Regions from separate parts of the Mus musculus genome. Here all the other regions are reported to be linked to region 1. Evidence: microRNA targets listed by miRTarBase, many of them from high-throughput screens and not tested one by one. Region 1 holds a microRNA gene; each other region holds the end of a gene's coding sequence.

Region 1 (4,723 bases):
CAGCTCTTGCCTTCAGATTCCTGCCCTGCTTGAGTTCCTACTGTGGTTTCCCTCGAGATAAACTGCAATCAGCACACATAAGCCAAATAGATCCTTTCCTTCCTATGTTGCTTTTGGTGATGGTGTTTATCACAGCAATAGGAGTCTAACTAAGACACTTAGTTTTAGTTGTTTTTGCATCTACATTTTCCTAACATCAACTCAATGGAATGATGACTAGCCTTGTGCTGGGTACTCTGGGAGACTTTTTTTTTTTTAATTTTAATGAATGAGGGAAAATAAGGAAATTTACCATCATTATGATTTAATTTTGTGTATGTGTGTGTATACATGTGTATGTATGTATGTATGTATGTATGTATGTATGTATATGCACATATATTTTCATCCATGGTTCCTGGCTCATAATTCCCATCTACCTTGTCTGATAATCATTTCTCCTCATTCTATGGGGTTCCTCCCCTAAGACTACAAAGAACGAAACATCTGAATTGATAACATTGCTTGCACGCCCCCTAATCATTAGACCTCGATTGTCCCTTTTGTCCCACTACATTTCTGTAAGAAGCATGCTTAGAGGAAGTATTGGAGACACTGGATCAGTCCCGCAAGCCTGTTTTTTTTTTTTTTTTTTCCAACAGAGGGAAATGAATGACGTCTGGAAAGCCAGACTGGAAATGGTCAAGCAACCTGCTGGTGACCCTTTGCTATTCCACTAGGAGTTAGCCTCCACACGAGTCCCCCAATAGCCTGGTCATTGTTTAGGTCCTGATGCTGAGCGTTATCTCTCAGTGATGAGAACTTTGCATCCCCCACCATTAGAGACTATTCTTACACTTAAACCAATCCTTTCTCATTGGGCTCTAGATTTGAGCTCTGCTTATCAGCCAATAGAATTCATTCTCACTGTAAAGGTCACAGGTGCTTTGCTACTCAGCTAGGGGGACTCTATGTAGCTATGCCTAAAGCGTTGTGGTGATAATTGTCATGTGGTGTCCTTTCCCCCAAAGTTTTGCTATGCTTAACTATATAAGAAAATTCAACCATTAAGATCAGACTCTGGAAGTTTTTGAACCAATATCTGCCAAGATGCTGCTGACTCAAGTTTGATTCTTCACTTTGTACATCACCTCCTTATCTGTCCATGAGGCTTGTGGGGTCGCCAGCACATTTTCATGTCTACTGAATCAAACCCATGCCAAGGGGTACCCATAAAATCTATGAAGGACAGCTTTGTAGAGCTTCTAGGTAGCCAAAAATATGCAGCAGTGCCCGGAGAACATATCTCCACTCTGCCTTTAAATTATCCTTTGGAATAAGCTGGCCAACACGTTTTCCTGAATTTTTAGACCCACTCAAGCAAGAGAATTGGACCTGAGAACACAGGTGTGGAAACCCCAGTTTATAGCTGGTGAGTCAGAAACACAAGGAAAGCAACTTAGGACATTCAATGGACATCTGAAGTTGGGTCTTAGGGACTGTGCCATCCACCTGCTGGATTCAGGGCTAACTCCACAGAGGCAGTGTCAACAGTGAATGGAAATAATGCCTCGCTAGCGTTCAGAGCAAAATCGAGAGTGGGCCTAGTGCTGGAAATAAATTGGGTGTCAGGGTAGTCAGTGTTGGGAGGGTCCCATAGGAGAGGTTGGATTTTACTGGTCTTTTCCTTTATAGCATTATTCATTTCACAATAGCACACGAGGGGAAGGCGTCAGTCAGATGTACAGTTATAAGCACAAGAGGACCAGATTTTATTCATACATTACACACAATGGAGAACTCTAGCACAAGACAGAACTTCTTGCTCGGAGAGAACAGACGTCAAGTCACGCGTGGAGTGGACGGATTGCCTAGCAGTAGCTATTTAGTGTGATAATGGCGTTTGATGGTTTGGACACAAACACCATTGTCACACTCCACAGCTCTGCTAAGGAAAGTCTGTCAGGCACAAGGGTATTAACCTTCCCTTCACATTCCTCCGTTGTCTGTCACAGACTCCTCAGTGGTTCCAAACGCTGAAACTGGAGCATAGGGAAGAGCCCCGGGATCTTGAATAACAAGGAGGGCTCACAAAGGCCTTTACCAGGATGGAAATTTGTTTACATCTGTTTCCTAAAAGGCTTGAATTCCAGGAAGAGGCAGACACTTCTTACAAACCACATCATACAAGGAAATAACTCCATTAGGTGATAGATCCCACCCACTCTCACCTCGTCATGGTTTCCAATCCATCACTAGCAAATGTGATCACTTCTTTGGTTCAAGAAAATTATGACTTCCTTTCCTTTCCTTTCCTTTCCTTTCCTTTCCTTTCCTTTCCTTTCCTTTCCTTTCCTTTCCTTTCCTTTCCTTTTCCTTCCCTTCCCTTCCTTTCCTTTTCTCTTCTCTTCTTTTCTTTTCTTTTTCTATCTTTTGAGACAATGGTCTCTTAGTATGTAGCCCTGGCTGGCCTTGAACTCACTATATCGACCCAACTGGACTCAAAATCACAGAGATCCACCTATGCCTGCCTCTTGGGTATTAGGATGAAAGGCACACACCCCCTACTCCCAGCTTGTGATTATTCTTTATGGGCTAGGACCTCCTCTCTGTGGAATCTTTGAATTTAGAGACACCCCACTTTGCTCAAACTTTAAGTCGTATTCTGCACAGCCATTCTTTAGAAGAACTGCAGGCAGCAGGTGAGGGGTCCAACTAAGAAAGAATGAAATAAAAACAGTTAGCACTTTTTTTTTCTAGCGGGAAGGTTCACTTTCTAGTGGGAAGGTTGCTGTGTGAGCAAATGCCTTCTGGATTGACTTGTCTCCAGTTAAATACGGTTTCACCGGTTCTGTGAACCTCTGCTCACGGTGGAGAATGAGAGGAACGAAAAGAGTTTTACCTAATCCTTTATTTTCCCCAAATGTTGAGAAGGGGGAAGATTGGGTGCCAGTTTCCTGACTCACCCCCATCCCCAGAATAGCTGAGTTGTTAACATTTGGCTAGAGATTTGCTTAAACTGTAACAAGCGAAACGAGTCCTCCCGCATTCTTCTATCCTGTATTCCCATAGAGACCACCTTAAGACACCTTTTAGACACCCTTTTAAGACAGATGCCGCAGGAACAGCATTCTGTGACCTCCGACCTCCCTCCCACTTTGGCTCCTCTTCGCCCCTTTCCTTTTCTATGGTGCTGACAGGATTGTTGTCCACTAAAAAAAATTAAAAAATAAAATATAATAGTTGGCTTCCTTTGTTCCTCTGTGGCCCCAGCAGACTGCAGGAAAAGAGTGTCACTCAGCCTAGTGTTAGACAAGCACTCCTCTGTGAAACCAGGAAGCTCCTGCTGACACCCAGCGCCACCCTAAAACCTTTGTGCTGGCCATGCAATGATGGGGGACCTCGAGAGTGTGTGTGTGTGTGTGTGTGTGTGTGTGTGTGTGTGTGTGTGTGTGTGTGTGTAGGTGATGACCTGTCTTTCCCCACCACTCCTTCCAAGAGACCAGCTATGCTGATTTATTTCTCTGCCTGGAGGACCTAGGACTGAAATCCCACCTCTTTTTCATCCCTCACCCCCTCCCGGGGATGCTCTGACCATCTCAGCAGGTCTCTAGAACCCCCTTCCCACGTGTAGTAAGGCCGACCAGGAGCGGTGAGGCATTCATTAGTGCTGTAGGGGCTGAGGACCTCTCAGTGCTTGATGTGCAAAAGACAGAGGAGGAAGAACAGGAGGGAACCAACCAACATATTACACGCAACCCTCCCCTAACCTCTCTGCCTTTCGGGCAGGTCATGAATCAAGCACACATCTCAAGGAAAAGGTAAACTAACTAACTAACTAACTAAATGAGTAAATAAGAGCTAATTCATAGTGACATTATTTAAAATAAAGGGTTGCACATGGCTCATGCTTTGGGAAATGGTCGACACTCACCTGGACCACGGTCCTCACCTTGCAATCATCGACTCGGTAAAAAGTTGGCTGTTGTTGACTTGGAAACAAAGTAAGATTTCATTTCCAACAGAGGAGTGGTTTTCAAAACAGTGCATATGATTCGGACCCTTTTCAGGGAGAACTGTACAGCGTTCATGTTACTGTAGCGCTCGACCAGGTGGAAAGGGAGCTGCTGTTGGACTTTTACCTCTGTTTCATTGAATTTATTAATTTTCACAATTTTTTTCACAGTGCTTTGGAAATGAGAAAAATAATGAGAATTTTAAAAATTTCAAAGTCCTCCCTCCTCCTTCTGGATAACCCCATTTAATAAATCCTCCTTGTAAACACTTTTCGTAAATATGAAAGCTGGAACCTATCTGACTCAAACAGATGTATTTGCCACCATGAAACAGTCTTGCTGACAGAGAGAGACTTCAGGTCAAAAAAAATTTTTTTTAAGCAAATAATTACTGAAGTACTATGCAGCATAGTTAACTTTATGCTATTATATCAAGAAATAAATTCGCATTTATTAGGGCCCTTTGAACAATTTTTAGACACTACTGAAACATTTGTTTTGTTTTGTTTTTCTGTGTTTTCTTTGACCAAGTGATCAAATTCTGTCAGCAGAATATTTTCCTGTTCTTCCAAATGTTGTTTACTAATGAATGTATCACCGAGAAGAAAAGCCAAAGCCATTCGTTCTAGGGTCCAAGCCACATTGTCTGTTTCCTTTCTTCAGACTTAAAAGGGCTTTAGAATTTTCAGACTGAACACTGGGAAGCTCACTTGTACTAGCTAATATCC
Region 2 (4,723 bases), not on the chromosome of region 1:
GAGAGAGAGAGAGAGAGAGAGAGAGAGAGGGAGGCAGAACACCAATATATATATAATTAATAAATCTTTTTTTAAGTGGAATTCTGAGATTAGAGAGATAGCTCAGAGGTTAAGAGCACTGGCTGCTTGTCCAGAATCAAACCCAGGTTCCTAGTCCCCACATGATACCTCACAACCACCTGCTACTCTAGTCCCAGGGGAGCCAATGCCCTTTTCTGGCCTTCTTGGGCGCTGTACACATATAATGTACAGACACCCATGCAAGCAGAACACTTATACACATTTTTTTTAAAGAAAGAAAGAAAACAAATACAAAATTCCTTAATTCCTCAGTTGCAGCCCTTGTGACCTTTGGGTCCGGTTAGCTCTGCATTCTTGTTAAGCCATCATCTTCCCCTCCTACGTGTTCTGTTAGTTTTCTCCCAGTTCCCGCGACTGTTGATCAATCTGGCCCGTGCTTTAGAAGCACCTGGAAAGATCTTATAATGGCACAAACCTGAGCTCTACAAAAGCAAGAGTCAAGAATTTCTTTAAAGGCCCCACTCCCTAACAGTGATTTGGATTGCATCAGTACATGGCCATTAATCGCCATTAAGATTTCATTGGAAGCAGGATACTGCAGAGCAGGCCCACACTTGGGAAGGAGCAAGGAGGAGAAGGCGTTCCAAGGCTGCACATCCACACTGTCTAGCAAGACTATGGTAGCCTGAGTTCCATGAAATCCTGTCTCGAAACAAAACAGACTTGGAGAACGGGGTGTGACTATTTGGGGACCATGTAAAGGAGGATTGATAGTGCTGTATAAGGTGCTTGCCAGGCTGCTAAGTAGCCTCTCTCAACCTGGATCCCACATTGGGATGTACTGGAGAGCTTTTAAAAGGTGCTGAGAGCTGGGTCTTGCTCTCCGTGGTTCTAATTTAAGTAGTCTAGGTGAAGCCTGGGTGCCAGAATTATACCACTACTGGGATTCCAGGAGAGGCTATAGGGAGGCACATTGACCTTCTGCTCCCCTTTTTCTCTAGAGACTTCTGGGAAGGAGCCCACCTGGAACTTCTGGAAGTACCTAGTGGACCCAGACGGAAAGGTGGTGGGAGCATGGGACCCCACTGTGCCAGTGGCGGAGATCAAGCCCCGTATTACAGAGCAGGTGATGAAACTCATCCTTCGGAAACGAGAAGACTTGTGACCGGGTCCCTCTGGAACTCCCATCCCTCCGCAAACTCAAGTGGTGCTTCACCGGCAGAGAGCTAAAGCTTCTCTTCCCTTCACTCCTCAGAGGACAAATCCTAAGACTTGGATGATTTGAATCCAAGAGCAACGGACAGCAACTGCTTGCTGGCCAGTGAGAGTTCTTAACAGCACATCACCAGCCAGCGGGCCTCTAGCCAAAGGAAACATGGCAAGGCTATGAAGAAAACATGTAGATGGATATGAGGCAATCCTCTACCTACCCATGCCAAGTCTTACCTCACAGGGAGGCTGTGAAGATTAGCATCTAATACCCGTGAACACGCCTGGGGCAGTGCTAGTCGAAGGGGAAGCACTCCGCACGGTTTTCTGCGTGTAAACAAGCATTATTTGTGATAATAAAACCTGAGTTTGACATAAATGTCTAGCCCGTGGAAACCTGGGCCAAATGTGTTTGCCATTCTTGTTATTGTTTTCTTACTTACAGAAGACACATGTTCTTAGGCAGTGTGGTAGGGGGAAAGACTCAGAGTTCGAACACTTGCAAGACTCTATCTATTCCCAGAGAGGCAAACAGAAAGGCACATGGAGAGCACACTAATAAAAACACAAATCATAAAATAGAAGTAAGTACTGTCGGGAATTTGGTGCGGATATTGAAGGGGCAGGCAGATTTCTGAGTTCAAGGCCAGCCTGGTCTACAGAGTGAGTTCCAGGACAGCCAGGGCTACACAGAGAAACCCTGTCTCGACAAAACAAACAAACAAACAAACAAACAAAAAAGGCCCACAAAGCTATACCTGAACACTTGCTTTTCAGCTAGTGGTGGTGTTTTGATTGAGGGTGGGTGGGTTATGGAACCTTTTATATACAGGCCAGATATATGGCTATCAGAGCAGGATTTCAGGATGCTGACTGGACCTCAGGCTCTTCTTTCAGATGGCTTGATAGTATGACCTCCGCTGTCACACACAGACTGCTTAGACAGTGTGACCCAGCCACCACATCCACCATGGCCAGGAGCCAGTCCCACCACTGTGCCTTCTTGGTTATGATGCACTGACAGTCCCTGAAACTGAGCCATGAGAAAGCTTTTCTCCCTTAAGCTGCATTGGCCAGATAATTTATCAGAGCCAGGAGAAAAATAAACAATGTCGACATGCATTTGCAGGCTACAGGTGCCCAGTAAGATTCCAGAAATGGTGGCTCCTTTGGGTGCTATGTTCTCAGGGAAGGCCTCTGGGGCCCTTGCCATCCCAACTGGGTCTCCTAATGAAGGACCAGGCCTTACTAGCTTGTCAAGTTTCACCTAGAGTTTTCAGGATTTTTTTTAAGACAGCGTCTCTCTAGATAGCCCTGGCTATCCTAGAATTTGTTATGTAGACCAAACTAGCCTCAAACTCACCCTATCTTCCTCCCAAGTGCTGAATAAAAGGTGTGTGCTACCACACTCACCTCTAAGAACTTTATTATTAATTTTTATTGATTATTTGAGAAGCTCACATCATGAACCTCAATCGCTCACACCTCCTAGCCTTCCCATGCCCAACCACCCTCCTTTTAACGCCCCCCTCCCTCCCACATACACATACAAGGAAAAGCAAGGGAAAAGAAAACCAAGTTTGTTTTGTGTTGTCCACATACTCACTAGAGCATGGTCAAATTCCTAGTAGCCAGCCCCCAAAGGAAAGATGAGTCTTTCTTCACCTGCATCCAGGCCAGAAGTCACCAACTGTGAAGAGCCATGCAGTGGGGTCTTAACCCTGACAGGGGAGAAATTTGAACCATTTAATCCACAAGTTGTAGCACATTGCAATGCATACAGAACATAAAATCTCTCATGGTCGAGGCCAGCCTGGTCTACAAAGTGAGTTCCAGGACAGCCAGGGCTATACAGAAAAACCCTGTCTCAAAAAAAAAAAAAAAAAAGATCTCTCATGAAGTCTGGGGCCTACTGATTAAGCCAGACTGGTTGGTGAGAGACCCTGGGGATTCTCTTTTCTCTGCCTTCCAGGATTCACGCCTGACTTTATTTATATATATATATATATACTGGGGACCAAACTCAAGTTTTTGTGTACTTTATCAACTGAGCTACCTCCCTAGCCTCATTTAGTTCCATTTAGAAATATGATCTCCTCATATAGCCCCAGCTGGCCTTGAACTTACAACCCTCTACCTCATTGTCCCTAGTGATAACCTCCTGAGCACCATAGAAAATACCTGTAGCTTTGATAAACTAAGTATTTTAAATTTTTGTTGTTGCCACCTTTGGACTGTTAAGAGTGATGGTTAAGATCATCCTTTTGTCTTTTGGTCTTTTGAGGAGGCCTGTGTTGGGGTGTGATATGCTGAAGGCTGTATGCTGTGGTGACAAGTCAGAGGAAGGATGGAGCAGACCTTGTCTTGGTAGCCTCACGGTTGGACACAAGTGAATCCTGGGGAGTGAAAGGTTATTCCTACTGTTGGATTCTGTTGCTTGTGCTGTTTTGCCTTTTCAAAGCAGAGGCAGTTTGCATTAAGGAAGGTTTGTGCGTATGGATTTGAATCCAGAGTTGGGACATCTTGGGGAGTGGTCCTCAGCTAGAGCCTCTGTGGACAGCACCTGGAGCCTTAAGCTCAGCATCTTGGCTCATCTTGGTCACCCTAGGCCGGAAGCCCCCTCTACACATTGGCACCCCCCAAATTCCTCATAGGCTCAAGATACCACTTGGTCCCCAAAGCCTCTAAATGCCATTTCTGGTGCACCTCAGGATGCAGGATTTTTTTTTTTAATTGGATGGAGAGGGCACACAAAACACAGCGCATGTGTGGAGAATAGAGAGCAGCCTGAAGGAATTAGCTCTCTCCTTGCCCCATGTGGGCTCCTGGGATAGAACTCAAGTCATCAGGTTTGGCAGCTATTGCCTTTACCCACTGAACCATGTTATCTACTAGTCCTTTTTAGTTCTTCCTTGTGACTTAGTGATTTATGTCTGTGTCCTTTCCTGTCAGGGATTACATGCCAATTAGAAATAGACATTGTCCCCTCGAGTATAGACAGATCTTTTGTATACTGTATTTCCTAGTCATTTTTGTTTGTGTATGAAAGTGAATATTTGGAACATGATCCTAGGAGTAGAAGCTTGAGGCAAATATATAGGAGAGGGCCTGAGGTGGTATTTCATTGGCTAAAAGCACTTACAATGGAAGCCTGGGGGCCTGAGTTCAAGCCTCGGAACCCACAGAAAAGGAAGAAGGAGAAAATCAACACTAACATCCATGGCAGACCCCAATAATAAATAATTTTTTAAAATATTTTAAAATGATAATTGAAACTTCTTAAAATTTAAGTTATGTAAGTGAAACAAAGCTTTTAAAAGTTGTATCAGGCCTGACCTGGTGATACCTGCCTACAAATCCAACACTTTGGAGGTACAGAAGGCAGAAGGATTGGGAGTTAAGTTTACTTCTGCTACACAGTGAGTTTGAGGCCAGCTGGGCTAGAGACCCTGTCTTAAAGAAAAACAAACAGATAATGGAGCTGAAGAGATGG
Region 3 (4,723 bases), not on the chromosome of region 1:
CTGGGCCCCGCTGAGGTAATCCCTGTTTTCCACCTTTCCCTGCTGTGTTCCAGGTCCTGGCGGCTGTCTACAAGGCTCTGAGCGACCACCATGTCTATCTGGAAGGCACATTGCTGAAGCCCAACATGGTCACCCCTGGCCATGCTTGCACCCAGAAATTTTCCAATGAGGAGATTGCCATGGCAACGGTCACAGCACTTCGTCGCACAGTGCCCCCTGCTGTCACTGGTGAGGCCCACTCCCTCATCTTGGCCTGGTGAGGTGGATGCACCATCACATTTGACTTTGTCCAGGGTGACGCCTCATGGCTTTTCCTGCTCCGCATCTCTAATGCAGGTCCCTTTCCTTCTGTGCTTGTTCTCCAGGGGTCACTTTCCTGTCTGGAGGGCAGAGTGAGGAAGAGGCATCCATCAACCTCAATGCTATCAACAAGTGCCCCCTGCTGAAGCCATGGGCCTTGACTTTCTCCTATGGTCGAGCCCTGCAGGCCTCTGCTCTAAAGGCCTGGGGTGGGAAGAAGGAGAACCTGAAGGCAGCCCAGGAGGAGTACATCAAGCGCGCCCTGGTAAGGCAGGCAGGCAGGCGTGGAAGTGTGAACAGGTGCCTGGGCGGGGTGGGGAGGGACTCAAGAAGAGAATTCCTCTGATTCCTCTTCCCTTTTAGGCCAACAGCCTCGCTTGTCAAGGAAAGTATACCCCAAGTGGCCAGTCTGGAGCCGCAGCCAGTGAATCTCTCTTCATCTCTAACCATGCCTACTAACCAGAGCTGAACTAAGGCTGCTCCATCAACACTCCAGGCCCCTGCCTACCCACTTGCTATTGAAGAGGGGTCTTCAGGCTCTTTCCCATCACTCTTGCTGCTGCCCTCGTGTGCGGTGTTGTCTGTGAATGCTAAATCTGCCATCCCTTCCAGCCCACTGCCAATAAACAACTATTTAAGGGGGAGTCTGTTGTTCATGTCTTGTAGGGTATAGGGGAGGGCCTGAGGAAAGAGCCTTACTTTGGGTTTCTTCTTCTTGGACAGTAAAAGGAAGGGTTTTTTTGACCAGAGCTTTGAGAAAGGCATAGTATTATGGGATGTTCTTTGCCTACATCTAATTGAAGGTAACTTTTACCTAATTAATATTCAGTTTAAGCCAACCAAGGGCTTAATGAATACTTGGCAAGGATTGTATCAGGGCTAACACATTTATGCGTTTTTGGGGACTATGGAGCCTTTTGGAGAACGCAGAATCCTCTCCTGCAGTGACATAGGTATACAGCTCAACTGCAGAACTCTTGGGTTCCAGGTTGAGAATGGAGCCTCAGAGCTGCTGATGTTCCCTGGTGATAGAATAAGAAGCACATCAAACCATGGGCCATCTGTATTCTTGCCACATTATATTGAGTGTAGTCGGTGTGCTAGTGCACACCTTTAATCCCAGCACTCAGGAGGCAGAGGCAGGCAGGAGGCCAACCTGGAACTCACTACAAAGTGAGTTCCAGGACAGCCAGGGCTATACAGAGAAACCCTGTCTTGAAAAAAAAAAATTCTGCCTAAATGAATGGATACAGTGTATCTGCCTTTGGAGGCCAAAAGGAGTGTATCAAGTGCTAGCTTCTGGCAAGATAAGAAACCTTAAGGAGTGAGGGCTTCGGACTATAACTCAGTAGCAGAGTCCTTGCATGGTTACTCATGGTTGTGAGCCACCATGTGGGTGCTAAACTGCTGAGTTCTCTCTCCAGCCCCATCATACCTCTAGTAATTTATAGTGCTAGAGACTCTAAGTATAACTGGGGACGACTTAGATCTTAAGCATTTCCTGTTTCCTGCCTTCTCTGCCCTTCCTGTGCTTTCTGTTTTCCTTCCCAAGCATCTTTTTCTTTGACACTTTCGTTTTCAGTGATCTGCGTAGAATTGTCTTACTAGGAGTATCAAAGCATAGTCTCCACTGTCCTAATATTCCCATGTATTGGCCAATAGTCAAAGCTATGCGCAGGCTGTGGATAGAGCCCAGTGGCTGAGTACTCAAAGCTCTGGTTCCTTCCCCAGTGCTGCAAGGGAAAACTCAAATCCCTATGCTTCCCCAAACTTCAGCCTCCCATTTTACTGCTCATCACGTACTTGTAGCCTTGCTCTCTAGAATTCTGTAGCCCACACTGGCCTTGAACTCTCAAGATCTGCTTTCCAAGTACTGGGATGAAAGGCATGTGCTATTCTCCTAGCTTCTATGAGGCGATCCTTTTTATTTTATATACATTGGTATTTTAACTGAAATGTGTGTATGTGTGAGTGTTGGATCCTCTGGAACAGTTGTGAGCAGCCATGTGGGTGCTGGGAATTGAACCCAGGTGGTTGGCAGGCTGGAAGAGCAGTCAGTGTTAACCACTGAGCCATCTCCCCACCCTCTATAAGAAAATCTTAAGGCACATAAAAATTGTTCAAAATTGAGAGGGACAATAGAATACTGAAAAAGAGGGAGTATGGTGTGCAGAAGATCAATAACCTGCTCTGCCTACAGCAAAAGGCAAAGAGAAAGGAGGCAGACTGCATGCACTGCGAATTTGGGGAGCTCCAGGGGCTGGCTTAGTGTTTGTGTTGCTTTGAGTTTCAGCAAATGAAAGGTGAAAGCCAGACCTGAAAACCACTTTTTTCTGGATTAATTTTTGTTTTTTGCTTTTTGAGGCAGGGTTTCTCTGTATAGCCCTGGCTGTCCTGGAACTCACTTTGTAGACCAGGCTGGCCTCGAACTCCCAAATCTGCCTGCCTCTGCCTCCTGAGTGCTGGGATTAAAGGCGTGCACCACCAAGTACAGCTATGGATTCATATTTGAGCTTTGATTGAAACTCCAGACTTTCAGCATTCAACTGTGATCAAGCTAGCCTCCAAACCCATTGCCACCTTCAAGGAATATGTTCAGGCAATAAGAAGCATTGTTGGGTGTGGTTGATTAATATCTGGGCTGAGATTCGCTGTGAAATCTGGGCTATTCTAAGCTACAGTGCAACCCTGTCAAGAAAAAAAGTGAACTATTTTGGAAAAGCTTGGTGTCCAGAGAGTGGACACTTAAAAAATTTTTTTTCAATTAGATTTAAGCCTCCGTGTTTTCTCTCATCACCATATGGGTTCTGGGGATCCAAATCAGGTCAGTAGGTTTGGTGACAAGTTCTTTTATCAGATATGCTATCTTCGTGAGGTGACCGCCCCCCGCCAAGTGTTTGCTCTGTAGCTTTGACAGCCTAGTATCCACGATCAGCCTTAGCCTCCTGAGTTCTGGGATTACAAATAGGCCACTATGTCTGGCCCAGGTTCGGAGCTCCTCCATGGGACCGTGGCAAGAAATGTGGACCAGGATAGGCTCTTTCATTGAACAATTATTTATGCATATCTGCAATACTTGGCCTTATTCTAAACACCGGAGAGGCAATGATGAACAAGGCAGTTTTATCCGTGAGATCTGTAATAGAAGCAGCCCAGGGAATAATGTAATGTGAGATGAGAAGCCTACCGCGGCTCGCCTCACCAGGCATACACAAGTACACCAGGCGCACTGCTGTATTTGCCTCCAACCAACTTCGCCCGCCCACTTCCGGCTACTTCTCTTCTCCTTCCCGGTGCCTCAGCGAGGCGTGGCTCGTGTGCGTCACTTCCGGCGCGCGAGAGCACTGGTTTCCCTTTGCTTCCGCGGCGAGGCCGGAAGTAGAAGCGGCGGTGGCGGAGGCCCAAAGCGGAGGGAAGTGGGGAGTCGAAGAGACTCAGCCGGAGTCTCCGCGGCGGTAATTGTCCGAGGCCCCTCTAGGCCACCGTCCTTAGCGCGGGCCCGCGGGGTTCGACGGGAGTTGGCGGGGTGCGGCCAGGGCAGCGGGACGCGGAGGGTCCTGGGCCGCCGTGAGGGGAGGGGGGGGCGGTCCCAGAATCGAGTCCCCCCTCCCGCACGGACCCTCTGATTGGCGGGCTCGCCTTCCCTTTTCCCAGGAGACCCCTGTGCGGTCCGGAGGGGGCGGCGGCCCCGACTCTGACCCGCGCCGGGGGGGTGGGCCATGGCGGAGATCAGCGACCTGGACCGGCAGATCGAGCAGCTACGGCGCTGCGAGCTGATCAAAGAGAGCGAAGTCAAGGCCCTGTGCGCCAAGGCCAGGTGAGCCCGCGGAAGGGACTCCAGCCGGTCGCCCCGGGGGTCTCGGCCGGGCAAACTCCGCCGAGAACTTAGGGCTTGCCCAAGCCCGGAAACGTCGCCAGAGAGAGGTCCGGAGAGCCACTTCTCCCCAGGAACCACGGGGCGGCTGTGTATGGGTTTCTAGTGGAGTAAGAGCGAGTGGCAGGAAGTTCTAGGGAACTCAGGGAAAATGGCTTGCCCTGCTGGGGTGAAAGTTTCTTGGAGGGGCTGAGTTCTCGGACAGATTCTTAAAGAGTGAGGAGATGGTTCAAGGCAAGAAAACAAAACGTGATTTGCGAAAGCCTCTCAATCCCGTCAGTCCTTAAAAGAGAAAATGACTTTGTGTCTAGTTTAACAAACAAGGACTCCAATTGTTCAAAATTACCAGCAAGGAAGGAATGGAATCTGAAGCCAGATCTTGTGAATACGGATCCTTTTAGTTATGATTCTGGAAGACGGAGTTGAGCCACCTTCGTGTTCCATTACGATCCTAAGAAAAACAATAAATAGGTCACACTAGAAGAGTTTCAGACTAGCTCATTTTACTGAGTTGAGGTCTTTTCAAAAAAGGAAGAGTTTTTGAAAAAA
Region 4 (4,723 bases), not on the chromosome of region 1:
CCAGGCAGCTGCCGTCCTAGGGAGTTCAGCTGCACCCCCTTGCAAAAGGTCATCCCAATGGGGTTGTTGGCAGTTTACACCCCCACCCCCAGCGAAATCCCCCACGTAGAGGAGCTGAGTGGGAGAATCTCTTGTCTGATTATTTAGCTGCCACCTGGCAGCTGTACACTTGGCCTCACGGTGGGGCTAGAGCCGTGGTTCTCAACTTGTGGCTGGTGACCCACTTCTGGGTCACGTATCAGATAACCCAAACATCAGATATTTATTTATACTATAATTCATAATAGCAGCAAAATTACAATTATGAAAGTAGCAATAAAATAACTTTATGGTTGGGGGTCACCATACCACGAGGAACTGTATTAAAGGTTGCAGCATTCGGAAGGTGAGAGACATTGGGCTAGAGTGTAGAGAGGCTGGGAAAAGCTTGGGGAGGGAGGCTCCTCTGATCCCTGCTGGGTAAGGTTTGAGGGGTGCCCGTGCTCCTGCATGTTAACTTCCTAAGTTATCTGTGCTCTGTAAGAAAGCCCAATAGACTCACTGGCTCCCCAGAGTGAACTTTTGCAGAACCGTGCCTTGGTTTGTCTGTCAGTGAAACCTTAGGGGAAAGGGGTAACCTGCACTTGGTCTCTCCTGGGAAGGAATTTTAGAAGCCCAGGCTTTCCCACCACACTCATACGTGGGCCCATTGAACATCTCACTGGCCCTCCACCTTATTTTTTAAGACTGAGCCTGAAAGTCACCATTTCTGCTACACTGGTTGACCAGTAAGCCCCAGAGATCTGCCTGTCTCAGTCCGCCAGACGGAAGGAAGTTACAGACATGAATCACTGTGTGCAACCTTTAAGTGGGTGCGGGGGACCCAAGCTCAGATCCTCACGAGACAAACACTTTACCCACTGACTATCTCCCCAGCTTTTCTCATCAAAGTTTTAGTTAGATTTGCATCACCCTATTACTAATAATGCTGGTAGTCTTTTCTTGTGTTCATTTGAGCTACTCAGTTTTAAACATTCCATGGGGCAAAGGGCTAAATCCCGAGTCTCAGCAAGGAAGAGTTTTATATGACTGATGCCATAAAACAATGACATTAGCCAATTGGTTATGAAGTTTTTCTTTGAGAGTCCCACCTCTGAGGAATAAAGTTGCTCTTTAAGAATGAGCGATTTTTGTTCTAACATGTTGGCAAGGCTGGAGATGCAGTTCGGTTGGCACCGTACTTGTCTAGCATGCACGAAGCCTGGAGTTCGGTCCCCAGTACTGAATAAATTGCATGGTGGTGCAGGCCAATCCCAAAACTTGGAAAATGGAAGCAGTAGCAAGTTCAGGCCCAGCTCAGCCTACATAAGACGCTGTAAAAAACAAAACTAAACAAATGTCATTAAAGTGCCCACAGTATCTATAAGTTAAGGTACAGGAGTAAATACAGTACACACACAGATACACACAGACGCACACAGAGGCACACACAGACACACGCACACACAGACACAGAGAGAGAGAGAGACAGAGATAGAGACAGAGACAGAGAGACACACACACACAGAAACGTCCCCATTGGAATAGATTATTTCCTAGATGAGCTAAAGGTTGATTCAGAAAATATAAAGACTGTGCTCTGGGAATGGTCCGAGTTGCTAGAGAGGTGTCAAAGAGGAGTTGAGAACTGCAGAGGAGCCAGGCACTGAGAGCCTGCAGGAGAGGGGCGCCAGGCACCAAGTGTGGAATCACTCTCCTTGTTTGGTTAGAAGCAGTGCCTATGTAGAACACCCCAAATAGCACACCTTCTGACCTTAGTTTTATCCTCCACAAGGTCGGTGGCTTTGGGCTTGTTTCCCTTTCCCAACACTTTGAAGGTCTTTGGCTTCACGTGAGAAAAGAGCAGAGCTTTCGTAGTGCCATCTGTCGCCGCAATCCCCTGCCTCTGCCTGCTCCACAATCACAGCCCCTTGTCACTCTCTTTCCTCAGGAATGCGCTGGCTGGCTAAGAGTTACATCTTCAGATGCAAACGGTGTCTGTTCACTGTCTGACTCTGCTACTTATTAGCTGTGTGTCTGTGGGACAGATGCTCAATCTTTCTGTACCACACCTTCCTTACAGTAGAAATGAGATATACAGTGCTTAGACAGTATACACAGGCCCAGGTTCATCCCCAATGCACAGAAACCCCCCAGCACCACCAACATAAAGATAAGGTGTGTGTGTGTGTGTGTGTGTGTGTGTGTTTGGTGCTGGAGATTGGTTCTAATGCTTTGATTCAATCAGGAATCTGCATGTCCAAATGCTAAAGGTCCTTGTCCCCAGGTGGTTTTTGATCAATTAATAAAGATGCCAACAGCCAATGATTGGGTATGGGGTGGGAGAGCCTTGTTGCGCAGGTGAGGACACAGAGAGGAACAGGAGAGAACCACCTCACTCAGGGAAAGAAGATGGGATGCAGGAGCAGCAGGAGATAAAGCCAACCAGCCGTGTGGCCACTGGCCACTTCCCCGATTGGGCCTGAGATAGCAGGGGAAGGTTTAGGAGTGTCCAGCCTTTGACATAGTCAAGGCATTTTTTTTTCAATTCATTTAACTTTTTTTTTCTTTTTTTTTTTGGCATTTTAAAAATAAGCTAATGTGTGTGTCTTTCATTTGAGGACCCAAAGATAGTTCCTGGGTGGATGCAAGCATGCGATCTGGGAGCACAAAGTGGTGAAGCAAAAAAACTTGATATATTTTAAATTTTTTACATGTATGTGTGTTTGTTCAGCATGAATTTATGTGCAGTATGTGCACACAAATGCCAGAGGAGGCCTGAAGGTATCAGGTTCCCTGGAACTATAATTGCAAGCCATTGTTAGTATTGTGGGCGCTGGGAACAGAACCTGAATCCTCTGTCAGAAATCCAAAAGCCATAGAATCCAGTGAAGAATTACACACTCCTCCACCCACTTCAACCCCAGCGCTTGAGGAGTAGAGACAGTTGGACAGCAATGCAAGGCCAGCCTGGACTACATGAGGCTCCCCCGAAAATAAAAAACAAATGTAATAATACTCATGACTCCTTCCTATGAACCAGTTTTTTTTCTCTCCAACAACCTGTAGACTCCAAGAGGGAGGAGACAATAGCTGGTAACTGCAAGGCCTCTTTCAGTGGGGTGAACACACAGCCTCAACTCCATGCCACATCTGCAAAGGGATTTAAAAGAGGCAACAGAGGACAGGATGGAGAACTAATCGCTTTAATAACAGATTAGGAAGGGATGGAAATGCCCGTTTCTGAGTTGGTGCCAGTCTCCAAAAGCTGACTTCCTCTGCCAGACAATGCCCACTTCGTTTCTGAACCAAAAGCTTTTCCTAATTAGCTTCTCCTCTTTTGACTTTCTCAAAGAGAATCATGTTTTTGCCTTTACGATATCTCAGTCCTTTAATGTTTCACTGGTCATTAGCACTCTCACAATCTCTAGGCTTGTAGGAGTGGTATCAGGTGTATGGAGAGTGGAATTTCATTACAAGTGGGAAATCACTAACTGGGAAATCCATGGTGAATAGCCCACACCAAGGTCTGGAGTGCAAAACCCTGGCCCAGAATCTTTATTCTAGGGTCATTTCAGCCCTGGACTGCAACCTCATCTGATTGAGTAAGTGTTGTCTCCTGTCCCCGCTGTTTCCTTTGGCACATCTTTGTGGTTTCTCACACCAACCTCTATCCTCAAATCGTTTCCAAACCAGTCATGGGTTGCTGGCCTACTTACTGAAGCAAAGCCACAGAACAAAGAGGGCCGAAAGAAGCGGGACTAGGCAGATGGCAGGAGAGAGGGGAGGCCCCGCATCTGAGGGAAAGAGATGTAAGTTCTCTAAATCCGTCAAGAAGATTCGGGCATCGTCCAGAGCTGTCTGAGCTGCCACAGTAAAGTTGGGGTCACCGGAGACTGAAACATCAAAGACGCAGGATTGGAAGTAGGCATCTTCAACCGGAAGCCCTTCCTTACACAGCCTTCTGGCAGTATCTATGGCTATAGCCCCACGGCGGTTGCGCTCTGAGCGAGAGAGTCGCTGGCTCGGAGGGCATCCCCCAACACACAGCTGTAGGTCCTGCTCTGCGGAGAAGGCCCGCGCCACATCCTCTGCTACCCTGATGGAGAAGGAGAGCTGCCCAGCTGTCTGTCGAATGATGATAGTTGTTCCAATGTAGGCAGCTCGAATCTCCACGTGACTCCCAAGGTTAGCAGTTTGAATGGACAAACTCGAGCCCCCAGGTCGGTCGCCCCCATTGATAGAACCATCTTCAAAGGCTGCAGGAAGATTGTCCACCTCAGCCTGGTAGACTTTCTGGTCAATGCATTCCTGCATGTTTTTAAATATGATAGTGATCTATGAGGACAAGAGAGAAAATACTTCATTAGGGCCCAAAGCATCCTCACGCCAATCAAGCTGCATAGAGAGTCAGGGATCCGATCCCAGCAGAAATGCGAGTTTCTTCCGGGTCCTCAGTCCTTGATCCTATCCCCTACTGTGTTCCATTAATAGTGCCTGACCCCCACTCAACCTCCTAATATCTCTCTCCCTATGCCTCTCTCTATCTGCCTCTCTCCCTCTCCCTCCCTCTCTCTCTCTCCTTTTTGTCTCAGTCTCAGCAACTCCCAAGTTACTTGCTTTGAAAGAAATTCCTGAATTACATTTACAAGAGCAAATGTTTGATGGAAGGAAGCCATTCAGGATGGAAGGGAATGTTTGGGAA
Region 5 (4,723 bases), not on the chromosome of region 1:
ACTGGAGTTACTACCACATGGCCTTCATATCTTCTTTTCAGATCCTTTCCCCAAAGCAAGCATCCTTTGTTATCAAGACTGTATCTACTTTGCCCCTAGCATCAATTCTGTCACAAAACAGGTGTCCTGTGACTATGTTTTTACACTAAATCAATGGGTTTATAAGTGGGTAAGCTGGATAAATGTATGGAGTGGCTGGATCAGGGATCAGAGACAAAGGCACAGATGTGGATGCTTGAATCCCCTAAGCTCCCAAGTGAAGGGGGAATGTCAGTGAGGACATTGACACACATTGTAGTCCACAGTGGCCTCAAATTGATGCCAGTTTTCCTACCTTAGCCTCCTGAGTTGTGAACTTATAGGTATACCATCATGGTTGGGTTTGTTTGGCAGTCTTTTGAAAATTAGTTCTGGGAATTACTTTGATTAACTAAACAATAGACCTTCACATTTGGCAAGGTAACCACAGTATGGGATAGACAGAAGGACAAACAGAAATTTTTTTAAAGAGTTATTTTTTTTTATCCCATGTATCTGGGGCGGGGATACACATAAGTGCAGGTTCCCATAGAAGCCAGGAGGCATTGGATTCCCTGGAACTGGAGTTACAAGTGGTTCTGAGGTATCTGTATGAGTGGTGGAGTCTAACTCAGGTGCTCTGCAAGAGGAGTACATGTTTTAAGCACTGAGCTTTCTCTTTAATTCCAGGCTTTGATTTGTAGCATCATTTATTTAAAAGCTCATGTTGTGGGAGAAGGAGAGATGGTTCAGCTATGAAAAATGCTTAGCCCTCTTGCAGAGGACCTGGGTTTGATTCCCAGCCTTCTCATGGCAGTTCAAAACACTAGTTCCTAAGAAACTGATGACCTATTCTGGCCCCCACGGGCACTGCATGTATATGGTACACAGACAATGAAGGCAAAAGACCCATACATAAAAGCAAATTCAGGGAGGGAGGAAGGAAGGAAGGAAGGAAGGAAGGAAGGAAGGAAGGAAGGAAGGAAGAAAGAAAGAAAAGAAACCAAAGCCTAGTTTTTCCTGGTCCAGGCTATATGACCTTGAACAGGAATCTTCTTTAGGACAACCAAATATTCTTATTTGTAAAATGAAGCAGTTAGTCTAAATTTCGTCCTGTTTTAAGAATCTAGTTTTGGCTTTTCATTCCCTTTCCCTTTCCCAGGAATGCTTTGAAGAGGACCCAGGGCGTAAGTGGATGGATGGCTTGCTCAGTAACCCAGGGGATGAGGCTGGACCCCACATAGGGCTCTTCATGGATAGCTACCGCTACTTGCATCCAAAACAGCAGAGGGCTTTCACCTGCTGGTCAGTGGTCAGTGGTGCACGCCATCTCAACTATGGCTCTAGACTTGACTATGTACTGGGAGATAGGGCCTTGGTCATAGATACCTTCCAGGCCTCCTTCTTACTCCCTGAAGTGATGGGCTCTGACCACTGCCCTGTGGGAGCTGTCTTAAATGTATCCTGTGTGCCAGCAAAACAGTGCCCAGCTCTGTGTACCCGCTTCCTCCCCGAGTTTGCAGGTACCCAGCTCAAGATTCTTCGCTTCCTAGTTCCTCTTGAGCAAGAACCTGTGCGGGAACAGCAAGTCCTGCAGCCCAGCCATCAAATCCAGGCACAGAGACAGCCAAGAAAAGCCTTCATGCATTCAACCAGGCTTCGGAAAAGTCAAGGTGGCCCCAAAAGAAAACAGAAAAACCTGATGAGTTACTTCCAGCCTTCCTCCAGCCTTTCCCAAACTTCTGGTGTGGAGCTGCCTACCCTGCCTCTGGTGGGCCCTCTTACAACCCCAAAGACTGCAGAAGAGGTGGCAACAGCCACAATGCTAGAAGAGAAGAACAAGGTTCCAGAGTCCAAAGATGAGAAGGGAGAAAGGACTGCCTTCTGGAAGTCTATGCTGAGTGGGCCCTCACCCATGCCCCTCTGTGGAGGCCACAGGGAGCCATGTGTGATGCGTACTGTGAAAAAAACAGGACCCAACTTTGGTCGCCAGTTCTACATGTGTGCTAGACCCCGAGGTCCTCCCAGTGACCCCTCTTCCCGCTGTAACTTCTTCCTCTGGAGCAGGCCCAGCTGAACAGACTGAGGCATAGGGATGTCTTCGTGTTCACCCCGTGCACGGGGTCAGATGCCAGGTCCCTGCCTATGAAGGCTTCTTTTTGTTCTCTGCTTTCCCTCCACTCCTTCCCTTCTCCCCCTAGTGCCTCTCCCCTTTCACATCTCTGTTTCTTCCTCTTTGCACATGGAGGAGCAGGGAACTAATTTAATCCCCTTCAACCCTTGTTAGGGCATAAATAACATTTTGTTCATAAATAAAGGTCACGTCTTTGTTTCAGTAGACCATGTTGAGTGGATATTTTAGATGCACTCTAAAAAGTTGAGTGTGAGGCTCTCTCATTTCGAGGCTTGCTTGGCCTCATGTAACCCAGTGAGATACTATCAAGGCGACATGGTGGAGGGAGGAGTTGTGCTCCCCAGGAAAGGTGAGCTCTGGGGATCATTTGCTACTCTGAGGTTGGATCAGTGAAGAAGGTGGGTGTAGTGTGAGGGTGTGTATTCTTAAAAGAGTTTTCTAAGTAGTGTGTTCTACAGCTGTTACACATGAATCACCAGAGAGAAAGAATTGGTGTTTCGGCCTTCAGAGGTCCAGGGTTTGAGTTACCATAAGTCTCAGGGAAGATGGCCACCTTGGCCAGTAGAGTTGGGAGGCTTTGTTGGGAGCCTTGCTGTGAAGACCTTGTATACTGTAGCCAAGCTTCTTCCTTCACCTTGCAGAAGGATAGGAAATCCTATAAGATGCTATTGGAGAAAAAGAGGATAGTGGATCAAGAAAGAATCCATTCCTTATTCTGGAAGATTTCTTGGCATGGGGAAGCCATTATTCCCAAAGAACAGCCATTCTTTAGTTAAGACCTATTCCATCTTCTGACCTCAGAGGCTACCTGGGGCTCACCTTTCCAGGTCTCCCATTGAAAAGTAGAGCCCTGTATTTTTGTCTAAGTTATTGGGAAAGCCACTTCAGGTTAGCTAAGGAGTTTAGATCTTTGTACAGCTTCCAGTACAGATTAGGGGCATTTCTTTCCTCTTCCTAAATCTGACTTTTCCTATTAGTAAAATAGAGTGATTAGACCAACAAGTAATCTGTGGTTTCCCTGTGAGGCTAGACTTGTCTGAGTGAGTGAGTATAATACAAATTGTCTGCTCTTCTGTCTACCAAAGGGCTATGAATGTTTCAAGTTGCTCTTTATTTTCAGAATCAAGTCAGCCAGAAGCACACAGGAAAGCAGAGAGCAGGAGGAAGCCCAGCCCCAGGGGGAGTGCAGGTGGAGCTGGCATCCAAGGCAGCTGGCTCCTTAAGCATAGGTGGTAACATATTGGGGTCCCATGTTCCCAAAGTAGGATCGCTCCCACTCGCTCATAAGTTCAAAGTGCACAGGACGATGACAGAAGTTGCATGCAGCCACAGACACATCTTGGAGGGGCAGCCCCACCTCAGTCCAGGCCAGCAGCAGCTTCTCTGAAATGGAAGAAGAAAAGAGGGAAAGAATTGGTTAGACCTGGTCTTCTAAAACCTGTGTTGCTACAGATGCGCTAAGGTCTTGTCTCCCTCTATCCTTTGAGGTAACTTGGGTCCAGAAGTAGATTTACTTGTCTGCTTCAGTATAACCCACGAATGCTACCATTTGTCTGTGGGTCCTAGGATGTATAAAAGACAGGAAATCATGCCTGTGACAGGATTTAAAACCATGCTGTGCTAGCCTGTATCTCTCCCTACATAAAGAACATGTATAGGCCCAACAGTGAATCTCTCTGCTTAGAAAATCCTGACCTGATAAAGACAACACTAAAAGGAATCATACTGTCCTATCAGTGTTGTGAGCACATTCCTGGGGTGAGCAGGGACCCAGAGGAGGGAACAGAAGCTGCTGTGGGAAGCACTTCAGGTGTGTGACTGGTTTTTGTTTTTAACCCCTTTTCTGCTCATCCCTTGCTGGTATGATCTGGTCTTGTGTTCTTAACACCATCTGTGTGCAGATGACTCTGAATTTTTTTACTTCCAGCTTTCCCAGAACTCTGTCTCAGTTTCCAGATTTGTATGTCTAATAGCGTCTCTGCTTAGCTGCCTAATTCTAATTAGCTGTCTAACACTTTGGACAAAACTGAATCGATCATACCTGTCCTCCACCAAGCCCTTTCTGCTCATTTTTTCTGCCACTTACCTATGGGACTCCATCCACACCCATCTTTTGTTTCCCAAAGATAAAGGGAATATTTTTGTCTTTCGGTATTTGCTTTGGACTGTTCTCTGAGATGTCTGTTAGGTACTTAACTAGCTAACCTCATTGTCTCCTTCAGATCTTCTCTCCAGTGTCACCTTAATGTTTTCTACTCTTGCCATTCCATGTATATGGTCCTCCTCCAAGCCAGTACCTGCCTATAGTACTTCTTGTTCCCCCTTTCTGCTTTCTGCTTTCCCTTAACACTTTGAACTAGAATGCTAATTGATTTTTTAAAAGTTGTTACCCCTTCTACTAGAATTAAGCTTAATTCTAGTAAAAAAGGGTTCTGTGTTTTGTCTATTCCTCGCTCTCAAGCACAGTGCCCAGCCCACAATAAGAACATGATAGATGTCTATTGAAAGGATGAGTTAAGACTAGAAGATGAAGGGAAGTAAGCCTGAGGGGATAATGAATGATGAAGTCAA

The links. The annotated mature microRNA mmu-miR-122-5p reads UGGAGUGUGACAAUGGUGUUUG and lies in region 1 at 1,898-1,919, opposite strand. An mRNA with a match to its seed (bases 2 to 7 or 8) in the 3' UTR can be bound and repressed. Matches are read on the target gene's strand: a 7mer-m8 pairs with bases 2 to 8, a 7mer-A1 pairs with bases 2 to 7 and ends in A, and an 8mer does both.
Region 2: miRTarBase lists Gpx7 as a target of mmu-miR-122-5p. The part of its 3' UTR that is shown has no 7-base or 8-base seed match.
Region 3: the mRNA of Aldoa is a reported target of mmu-miR-122-5p. Seed matches in the 3' UTR shown: 8mer at 788-795.
Region 4: the mRNA of Hjv is a reported target of mmu-miR-122-5p. Seed matches in the 3' UTR shown: 7mer-A1 at 3,549-3,555.
Region 5: the mRNA of Alas2 is a reported target of mmu-miR-122-5p. The part of its 3' UTR that is shown has no 7-base or 8-base seed match.

Annotation. Positions count from the first base shown.
Region 1 is chr18:65,246,062-65,250,784 of GRCm38, reverse strand. It overlaps Mir122 (microRNA 122), which reads right to left and starts at 1,924; the gene lies at 1,859-1,924. Mir122b (microRNA mir-122b) reads left to right here and starts at 1,864; the gene lies at 1,864-1,922.
Region 2 is chr4:108,397,297-108,402,019 of GRCm38, reverse strand. Gpx7 (glutathione peroxidase 7) reads left to right here. Exons shown (of 3, transcript NM_024198.3): 3 at 1,023-1,803. The coding sequence ends at 1,186. It overlaps Gm32297 (a long non-coding RNA gene), which reads right to left. Exons shown (of 6, transcript XR_003955247.1): 2 at 2,837-2,951. Among named protein-coding and RNA genes, the nearest start is that of Gpx7, 7.1 kb to the left of the region's middle.
Region 3 is chr7:126,791,455-126,796,177 of GRCm38, reverse strand. Aldoa (aldolase A, fructose-bisphosphate) reads left to right here. Exons shown (of 9, transcript NM_007438.4): 7 at 54-228; 8 at 366-565; 9 at 664-944. The coding sequence ends at 759. It overlaps Ppp4c (protein phosphatase 4, catalytic subunit), which reads left to right and starts at 3,631. Exons shown (of 9, transcript NM_019674.4): 1 at 3,631-3,755; 2 at 3,955-4,117. The coding sequence starts at 4,020.
Region 4 is chr3:96,527,697-96,532,419 of GRCm38, reverse strand. Hjv (hemojuvelin BMP co-receptor) reads right to left here. Exons shown (of 4, transcript NM_027126.4): 4 at 3,204-4,356. The coding sequence ends at 3,730. Among named protein-coding and RNA genes, the nearest start is that of Hjv, 4.9 kb to the right of the region's middle.
Region 5 is chrX:150,569,140-150,573,862 of GRCm38, reverse strand. It overlaps Alas2 (aminolevulinic acid synthase 2, erythroid), which reads right to left. Exons shown (of 11, transcript NM_009653.3): 11 at 3,241-3,535. The coding sequence ends at 3,372. It overlaps Apex2 (apurinic/apyrimidinic endonuclease 2), which reads left to right. Exons shown (of 6, transcript NM_029943.2): 6 at 1,181-2,356. The coding sequence ends at 2,095. Among named protein-coding and RNA genes, the nearest start is that of Apex2, 17 kb to the left of the region's middle.